Linked DNA regions of Drosophila melanogaster. The protein of the gene in region 1 purifies or fractionates together with the protein of each later gene. This does not show direct contact. Each region holds a gene or a part of one and is shown on either strand. Other genes may lie near its edges. The genes, in order: Ski6 and Dis3.

What was found.
Region 2: the proteins of Ski6 (region 1) and Dis3 purify together in Drosophila melanogaster (affinity purification with western blotting; 2 studies listed by BioGRID, with this or other methods). This does not show direct contact.

The regions. Positions count from the first base shown.
Region 1 is NT_033779.5:13,220,817-13,224,282, reverse strand, and holds Ski6 (Ski6), read left to right. Parts: upstream 1-1,853; 5' UTR 1,854-1,922; intron 1,923-1,975; exon of another isoform or gene 1,976-2,052; 5' UTR 2,053-2,061; coding exon 2,062-2,802; 3' UTR 2,803-2,886; downstream 2,887-3,466. Other genes in the region: CG16812 (uncharacterized protein), read right to left, coding at 1-292, 351-938, 995-1,411, 1,536-1,554; mRF1 (mitochondrial translation release factor 1), read right to left, coding at 3,018-3,466.
Region 2 is NT_033777.3:24,331,163-24,337,762, forward strand, and holds Dis3 (Dis3), read left to right. Parts: upstream 1-2,270; 5' UTR 2,271-2,330; coding exon 2,331-2,710; intron 2,711-2,762; coding exon 2,763-3,207; intron 3,208-3,270; coding exon 3,271-4,349; intron 4,350-4,405; coding exon 4,406-5,074; intron 5,075-5,131; coding exon 5,132-5,507; 3' UTR 5,508-5,871; coding exon of another isoform or gene 5,872-5,908; 3' UTR 5,909-6,086; downstream 6,087-6,600. Other genes in the region: Rrp5 (ribosomal RNA processing 5), read right to left, coding at 1-1,922, 1,979-2,059; CG6432 (uncharacterized protein), read left to right, coding at 5,872-5,908.

The DNA.
Region 1 (3,466 bases):
CGCTGCCTGCTGTGACCAGCATTCATGCTGTTATGGCGCCTTGGCGGAACATATTTCTTCTGTGGCTCCGGTCGCGGCTGTCGATGTGGCGGAGCTGGTGGAGCTCTAAGGGGAGCGGAGGTCGCGGTTTTTCCAAGCCTCCTGTGGACGGGCACCGTGTCCTGTCGGCTAAACAGCTCGTCGCTGCGCATGCGTATGGTCTTGCCCTTAACAGGACTGAGTCGAGCCTGTGGTTTCCTTGCAGGCGATGCCTTTAGGTTGTATGTCTTCTTCGTGGCATGAAGTTTGGATACTAAAAAAAATGTTATAAATTAATTGACTGTGCCACTTCTGCTCTGAAGCAAACATACCCATTCCGAGCCTTGATTTAATATTATTCGCAAAACTTTTGCCCTGCCTATTTTTGTATGCCGATTCGGGAACGATTTCCCGAACCTCCGCTGTCGAGGCGAACTTAACAATCTTTTCGCCGGCTCCCATATCAAAATCTTCTCCGCTGGACATGTAATCCTCTTCGTCACTTTCGAAATCGTCCATGCTATCATCGTCGTCGTCGCCTTTTTTAAGAGGCACTTTGTGAACTAGCATGACCTTTTGCTGCGTTACAGCGGCCACCTTCTTCGCTTTCACAATGGGCGAGTTCTTGGTGACCCCTCCTCCTCCTCCTCCACCACCAACTGTACGGTGTGTGTTTTTAAGGATCGATTTGATTTCCCTGGTCGAAGTGAACTCCTCCGGAAGAGCGCCCTGCTTGCCACCGAGTCGAGCGAAGACCGAATTATTGCTGGAGGTGGCCGCTGTTTTTGATGCGCCGGCAACGTGCACGCGGACGCTGCTCTCGCCCGAACTGGAGACAATGCCCTCCTGCGCCTCGTCCTCGGCATGCAGGCGCGTAAATATGTCCGACTTTTTGGAGCTGCTCACACGATCGGAGTATACTAAAAGAAGATATATTGAAAATTTGATCTTGTTCTTTAGAAATCTGTAATCTTACATTTTTCCCGCTTGGCTAAGATCTGTTTGCTGCGCTCGGTGGTTCCCGAGGGCAGTGTCACCTTGTACTTGCCCTCGTGCTCCGGAAGCACCCGTCTTGCAGGTTTCGCAGGCGGATAAACCTTTGCTTTTGGAGTTGCAACCGGCGCTTTGGGTTTTGGCGATACCGGTCGGACAACTGATTGAACCACCTCCGTTGTGAGGACCTGTTCCCGGGCATTCTGTTCGCAGACGGTCTTTGAGTGCCGCAGGATGGCGATTATATCGCCCATCAAGGTTATGCCCATTTCCCGGAGATACTCCTTGTTAAGATCCAACAGCATGTCGTCCTGGATGCGGTTCTCCACGAAGACGTGGGCATAGCCGGCAGCCGCAGGAGATGGGATGCCGGCCGCATTGAAGAATTTTACCCAGCGTGCTGTAATTTTCGGTGGTGAGTTCATTATTTTTAAAGTGTGTGATATTTTTTAGGTCTTTATTTTTGTTTCGCACCCGGAAGCGTCTGTTCAGTTTGTTTCGTTTTCACGATGTTATAAACCCACCTGCGCTTGACTTGGACATTTTGCGTATTTCTGGTGCTGGCAAGCACAGATTCTTACACGATTCAGCTACTATTTATTTATTTTATTCCCATAAATTCCGTTTTTTGCACTCGAAACTATTTATATATTTTAGAGTTACCACAAATCCTGAACGATTATCGGTATTCGGTTATCGGATATCGATTAGACCATGTGTTAGTGTTGTTAAATTCCAAAATGTTGTAGTAGGGGTAATCAAAGCAAACACTGTTCAAATTTAAATTTAAAGAATCTTATTAAAATCCTTATTAAATTTCTATATATCGTGATTTAATGTAGTACACTTTGGCAATATATGCTTAATTATTTATTTACTCTTACATACGTACGGTGTACATATTAAAAGAAGTTAGTATAAAAAGGATTTTTTCATGGACTGTCGGTATTTTTAGTACTTCCACACTGTTGTTAAAATTGTAAACAAATCCCGCCGCACGTGTGATATTTAGTTAAAATCAAAATAATTGTATTTCTAAAGTTTCAAAATATGTCTGGTAAATACGATCTGCTCAGTGAGCAGGGCCTCCGTCTGGACGGACGACGTCCTCATGAATTGCGCCGCATCAAGTGCAAACTGGGAGTCTTCGAGCAGCCCGATGGAAGTGCCTACATGGAGCAGGGAAACACCAAGGTTCTGGCTGCCGTCTATGGACCCCACCAGGCCAAGGGCAATCAGACAGAGTCCGTCATCAACTGTCAGTACAGTCAGGCAACCTTCTCCACGGCGGAGCGCAAAAATAGGCCGCGCGGCGATCGCAAATCTCTGGAGTTCAAGTTGTACCTGCAGCAGGCGCTAAGTGCTGCCATTAAATCAGAACTATATCCCCGCTCCCAGATAGACATATACGTGGAGGTGCTCCAAGACGACGGCGCCAACTATGCGGTGGCTCTTAATGCCGCCACACTGGCGCTAATTGATGCGGGAATCTGCCTCAATGAGTTCATTGTCGCCTGCACCGCCTCACTGAGCAAATCGAACATCCCGCTCACAGACATCTCTCAGTTCGAGGAGGTATCCGGCGGACCGAAACTAACCGTGGCTGCCTTGCCTACCGCCGAGAAAATCGCCTTTCTTGAGATGAGTGAGCGGTTCCACATCGATCACTTGGAAACCGTCATCGAGACTGCTATGGCGGGTTGCCGCGAAATAAGGGACATTCTGGAGGCAGCAGTCAAGGAGCACCTTCTGCACATGGGCAGTGCCTCTGACTTTGCGAAAGTTGGTTGAAATAAAGTAATCTTTTCTATTCCAATCTTGTCGTTTTTTACAATTGAAGGGCAACAATTATAATAAAAAGGAACCAACATTTACAAATTAAATAGTGTCTTTAACATTGTATTCAGATGGCTGCCCTTGCTCTCTTTTAATATAATTTCTGTTGCAAAAGCACAATTATCCTCTAAAACACAGGCGTATAAATGTAGTAACAAACGAAAGTAGCTCTAGTTTTTCTCAATAGCTTCTTTTGGTGGCTCCCACCTATCCAAGAGCTCCTTTAGTCGTTCCCTTCGATGTTCCAGTTGCAACTTCTCTATTAGTCCACTCAGTTGGTCGCCGCCCTTGAGGAAACCATTGAGGTTGTGCAGCGTACCGCCTTGAATTCGATGATCCGTTATGCGGTCCTGGACGAAATTGTAGGTACGGATCTTCTCATTGCGATTGAGACTACCCTGTTGCGCCTTCTTGGTGGCCATTTTGCTAGCCTCAACGCTCTCCAACTGCTGTTGCACAAGTCGCGACCGTAGACGCTTCATCGCTAGCTCCCGGTTTTTGAGCTGGGAGCGTTCCGATTGCGCCTCCACCGCCAGACCCGTGGGCAGATGAACAATTCTTACAGCCGAGTCGGTGGTGTTAACATGCTGTCCACCAGCTCCACTCGCTCGCTTCGTCT
Region 2 (6,600 bases), on another chromosome or scaffold:
TCGGTGTAAGAGCCAGCGGGATGGACCCGCATTTGGGCGTGCAGCAGCTCCAGGTGATCCGACAACAATCGCAGTGGAATTAGGCCCACAAACTCCTCCAGCTTTGGATTCCCATCTTCATCCTCTTCGTCATCTTCGGCGGCGAAGGTGATTTTAACTTCCAGTCCAGCGTCTAAGGCATTGGTTATCTCAACGGGACAGATCTCACCAAGCTGGAACTTGTCCTCCGGCAAAGTCAAAGTGATTTGGTCCTTGTTGCGTGTTAGGATGCGGAACTTAGTTGTTTGTCCCTCGAAAAATGAGCTATTTTCCTTTAGATTCTGCCTGTGCAAAACTCCTTTGATGCCGTTGCCGAACTTCACTAGGACGTAAGTGTCCTCACATCGGACTACTGTGCCCATATAGACGTTTCCAACGTGAGCGGACGCATAATCAGTCAGAATTTTAATTCCCTTGCCCAAATACTCGGCACGATTGCTCACGTAGCAGATTTTTCGCTCGGCATTAACTTCTAGGACGCGGCACTTCAACGACTGACCCACATCGTAGCGGACATTGGGTGCCAGATAGAACTGTTCCAGTATTCCGTTGACCTTGCCGATCCTCACCGACCAGCCCTTGATCTTGTCATCCTTCTTGAATATTTTCGCTGTGACCAGATCGCCGGCATTAATATCCTCCAGGCAGAACAGCTTTTCGTTGACCACGTTGGGATCATCGGAGCAGTAGTACAAGGATTCGATGACATCGTATCCTAGGATGCGAACCTTATGCTTCGTTTTTCTTCCGTATTTGGACAATACTTCGTCCTTGTCATAATTTCCCTTGAAATTGCCTCTGATTGAACCGTATGAGATAATGCCCTTTAGTTTCTTATTAAGAAGCAGTACCACGCCACCGCTGCCCAAGCGCAGAACCTTGGCTTTTTCCACCACGGAACCCACCTTTATGGGCTCTACCTCCTGCTCTTCCTCATCCTGATCTTTTGCTACTGCAGCTCCAGTTTTGATATCCAGATTAAGAGTTAAGTACACTAGTTTGGTTAGGGGCATCACGTAGAGTACCCTGGCATTGTAATCCTCATTCAGCTCGTAGGCATCCAAAGTATCCAAAGCGTTAGCTAGATGATGTTCGTTGACGTAGGCACTAAAGGATTCATTCATGATGCTGCCTTTGAGGCCATCCTTCAGATGCTTGGCCACCTTAAACTTTACAATGCTGCCTGGCAGAATGTAGTCGAGATTCGTCTCGTTTTGACTCTTGATGCGCAGCTGGTCCTGCTCCACCTGGACACAGGTGCAGGTGCTCTGGTGGGTGTCGTGATGAACGGTTTTGACTTTTAGGAAAGCCAACTGCCCCACGTGTAGCTTCTGAGCTGGCTTCTCGCATGGCACGAATGCCTGAAGTCCTTGTACTCCCGACTCGATGACATAGCCGTGCTCCAGAGCCTCCGCCACGGCGCCAGAGAAGATGAAACCCTTCTTAATGCTCTTGTGATGCAGATTACCGTGCACATCGGCCGGCTTGAGGGAAAGGAGCAGGCTAACCCGACCGGTGTCCAGCTTTTCTGTTTTGATGGCCTTGCCGTAGACGATGCGGCCCAACTGGAAGAGCTCGGTAAGGTCGTGGTACTCGCTGGTGTCTCCGGACATGGCCGCCTTGGCCACACGGGTGTAGGCGTCGGATATATCCGCCACCAAGGTGCGGGCGAACATCCGACCGGGCAAAGCGATCTGCAGTGCGGTGGCTGTCAACTCCTTGACCACTCCCATGACCAGCATGTCCTCCTGCAGCGTGTCCATATTGAGCGTTTCCGCGGAGAAGGCCTCCAGTTGGCCATTTTGTTCCTCGGTTTCGTAGCTCAGAAGGTTCTCTTTTACTTTCGGCGCCTTCTTCACCTTCTTCTGCGAGGCACCGAAAACCTGTGGGACAGAAAAGTATGTACAAAGATCTCGGATATTTCGCTGGCTAAACTCACGATATTCAGGCTCACGTCGTCGGTTTTGACTTCGCTGTGGATTGTCCCGCCTCGGGGAAAGCTTTTCTCGTTCGGCACCATCCGGGAGCTGTGTAATTTAGCGTTTTAAATAACAAAATTTGAGCAACGTGCGTTCTACACGTGCTAAGCGCCGATATAGAAAATCAGTTCAATAAATGGTACTAAATTATACCTTAAGATACGGGGCAGTCCGTAGACTCAAACCACTGTGACCATTGCGGCTGCAGTGTGAACAGGCCTTAGGCAGATAATACCGCAGTCGAATCATGCACGGGCCTCCCTATTCCGGCACACATGTGAAGGTGTAACAATTCGAACGCGGTTCAACAAAATGCAAACTTTACGCGAATTTACGCGTAAAACCAAGCGCGGCAACATTCTGAAGATTGTACGGGAGCACTATCTGCGCGACGACATCGGCTGCGGCTCCGAGCTGTGCCGGGAGTGTTTCCAAAACGAGGTATACCAGCTCACCTCGCAGCACGCGAATAAGAGCACCCTCTTCAAATTCCCGCACTATCTCGTTTTGGACACAAATGTGGTTCTGGACCAGATCGACGTGCTGGAGGAGGATGTTTTGCGCAACGTAGTCGTTCTGACCACCGTGCTCAACGAGGTGAAGCACAGGAGCTCCGCCATTTACAAGCGATTCAATGAGATCGTCCACGACCGCACCAGGAACTTCTATGTGTTCGTCAACGAGCACCACAAGTGGGTTAATGGATTTTCTTGGGAAACCTTTATAATATAGTGCTTCTTCTAGGGAAACCTATGCTGATCGCGAACCAGATGAGACCGCCAATGATCGCAATGATCGGGCCATTCGTCTGGCCACCAAGTGGTACGATGATCACCTGCAGGCCTCGCAATCCTCTAAAGAGTTCGAGCGCAGTGGCAAAGCTGCTACGCGAGTTGTTCTGCTCACAGATGATGCTGCCAATCGTGCTAAGGCCGAAGCAGAAGGTATTCTGGTGACCACAGCAGCGGAGTACGTGAAATCTCTCGAGGATTTTCCACTTCTGATGGATAAGCTGTCGCACAAAACATTCGACAGCGAGAAGAATGGTCTGCCCCAGTACCCGCCGCATCTCAGCATGAAGGAGCTGCTGGAAGGACTGCGCCAAAATAAGCTACTACAGGGCACTTTTCAGGCATCCAGGGAAAACTACTTGGAGGGCACCGTCAATGTAGAGAAATTCGAAAAGGGGGTAAGTTAAAACGCTAAATATCTTCCCTGGCATACGCTTCACAATACGATTTCTGTTTAATAGATCCTTATCCAAGGACGCGAGTCTCTTAATCGGGCCGTGGATGGCGACCTGGTGGCCGTGGAGCTTTTGCCCGAGGCGGAGTGGTCAGCACCCAGTGAAATTGTACTGGAGGAGAAGAATGTCTATGCCGATGAAGTGCCCAGCGAGGAAAGGGCCAAGGATGAAAATGAGATGTTGAATCAGGTGCGTGCCGCTGCCTTATCCGCAGAGCGCACGCCCACAGGGCGAATTGTCGGTATTGTGCGACGGAAATGGCGACAGTATTGCGGCATCCTGCAGCCTAGCTTAATAGAGGATACAAATCGGCACATCTTTGTGCCCGCCGACCGTAAGATTCCGCGCATCCGTATCGAAACGCGACAGGCAGCAATGCTGCAGAACCAGCGCATCATCGTAACGATTGACACATGGCCGCGCAACTCGCGCTACCCACATGGACATTTTGTGCGCTCCCTGGGACCGCTCGGAGACATGGCCACCGAGAACGAGGTTATCCTGCTGGAGCACGACGTCCCGCACTGCAAGTTCTCGGACGAAGTGCTTAGCTTCTTGCCGAAAATGCCCTGGACAATTACTGACGAGGACTATTCCAAGCGTGTGGATCTGAGGGATCTGTACATTTGCTCTGTGGATCCCCCGGGCTGCACGGATATCGATGATGCTTTGCACTGCAAGGAACTACCGAACGGCAATCTGGAAGTGGGCGTTCACATAGCCGACGTAAGTCACTTTATTCGTCCAGGAAACGCACTGGACATGGAGGCAGCGGCCAGGGGAACCACCGTGTACTTGGTGGGCAAACGAATCGACATGGTACCCGAGTTACTCAGCTCAAATCTCTGCTCATTGGTTGGCGGTGTTGAGCGATTCGCCTTCTCCTGCGTGTGGGAAGTGGACAATGAAGCAAATGTGTTAAGCAAACGCTTCCACAAGAGCGTCATCAAATCGAAGCGTGCCATGACCTACGAGGAAGCGCAGAATATCATCGACGATGCCACGCAACAGAATGAAATAGCCAAGTCCCTGAGAAATCTTAATCGGTTGGCCAAAATACTGAAAAAGCGACGAATGGATAATGGGTAAGATTATATTAACACCTCGTAATCAAGTGAACTAAGGCATCCATAATTTACAGAGCCCTTGTCCTTGCCTCCCCGGAGATCCGCTTCCAGGTGGACAGCGAGACACACGAACCACTCGAGGTGGAGGTGAAGCAGATGCGCGAGACGAATTCCATGGTGGAGGAGTTCATGTTGCTGGCCAACATCACGGTGGCCGAGCATATCGCAACGGAGTTCTCCGAGTGCGCTGTTCTGCGTCGCCATCCTCGGCCACCGCCTACCAATTTCGATCCGCTGGTAAAGTCTGCGCGCTACCAGGGCTTCCAGGTGGACATCAATTCGGGACTGGAGCTGTCGCATTCACTGGACAAGTGTGTCAAGGCGGATAATCCGTACTTTAACACAATGATCCGCATCCTCACCACACGCTGTATGATGCAGGCAGTGTACTTCATCAGCGGCAGTCTGCAGAAGGAGGAGTTCTTCCACTACGGTCTGGCTGCTCCCATCTACACGCACTTTACGTCGCCCATTCGTCGTTACTCCGACATTATGGTACATCGCCTGCTGGCCGCCTCAATCGGCGCGGATAGCACCTATGCCCAGCTATTGGACCGAAAGTCAAATGAGGAGCTGTGTCATAATCTTAACTACCGCCACAAAATGGCTCAGTACGCTGGTCGCGCATCAGTGGCCCTCAACACGCATCTCTTTTTCCGCGGCAAGGAGGAGGATGAGGAAGGGTGAGTCGAAGAAACCACTAGTGGGCAACATTCTTTTCAATTATTACCCATCCCTAGATATGTGCTATTTGTGCGCAAGAATGCTCTGCAAGTGCTAATCCCCAAGTATGGCCTGGAAGGCACTTTGTATCTAAAGTCGGACAAGGATGGCAAGGACGGTGTGGAGCGCGTCAAGAGCGAGATTGTCTTCACCTTCAACGAAGAGGATCATACACAGCGTTGCGGTGACGTGGTGTTCCACTCCTTTGATCCAGTCACGGTTCGTCTTAGCCTGGATTCCAGCAATGTGCAGCACGAGAAGCTGATCTTCCGGCTGGTCAAGCCGTACATCAAGGGCTTCAGCGTGGAAACGACCACCGAAGGAACTGATAGCCAAGCGGTTTCTGCGGCACCTCCATCGAAAAAGACAAAGAAGGATAAGAAAAAGAAGTAATTCTTTGGATCTTTGCTTATGTGGAACTAGACTACGCTGAAGATGTGTAACTACAATCATTTCGTATAAATAAAATGTAAGGTTTTTAAATTCCGCTCCGTTTCGTAAACCTTTTCCACCGTTCCGGCTCTGCCGATCTCGGAGAGTTTCGAAAGCATACCTTTGATCGGGTGTTTTGTTTAAGGTTTTGGTTTCCAACTTGCGTTCTACATTCTCCAGACCCATTGCAAAGTTTCGACTACAGTGCGACGGTTGTGCTGAGCTCGTTTGATCCAAAAAATTCAAAAAGAATATATATAATAAATACATATATACATTAACTTGACTTGAATATATACAAGAACGGAAGTTATACAAAGTTACAATGGAACCCGGTCCTAGTGCAGTGAACTACGAAGGCAGTAAGTCGAAAAAGGTTTCGAAATTCATATGAAAAGGCTAAAAAATTTAATCAATGAGTAATCGCGTGATTTTTGCGGAACATATATTTATATCGGTACACATATTTTAATACGCATATTGAAAACATCAGTTAAAATAAACAACTTTTAGAACATCAAATAAAGTGCTTGGAAAACTAATATGCCAACTTTCGTTGTGATCTAAATGAATTCTATAGATTTTCGAATTTTCCAAAAACTATCTAAGTGGAGTCCAACTTTTTACAATATTCTTGGATTCTTGCAGTGCGATGTAGATAGATAGATAATTTATGCACAAGAGTTCAAGGTGATAAATATTGTGTTTTAAACCACTGCTCGCCAATTAAAATAATGAACTTTCGATGCGACTTTGAAGTGATTAATTAGTGTTTAGTTGTGCGCCCAAACTGTCGGCACTAAATATTAATGAATTCGATTAGCTTATTCAACAAGGAGGCTTTTAGGTCCAATATCCATCGCCAATCACGTGTGGATTATGCTCGGCGTCTGGGTGAGCCGCACACCCGACGCATATGTGCAGTACATGGGTGCCAGGTTGGGTATATAGAAATCAGTTGAGTGACCGCGACATTTGGAAAATTTAAAATTCAATGTGCCTGGTGTGTGTAAGGTGGTATGGAGTGGAAGGTTTGTAATTTAGTTTGATAGCC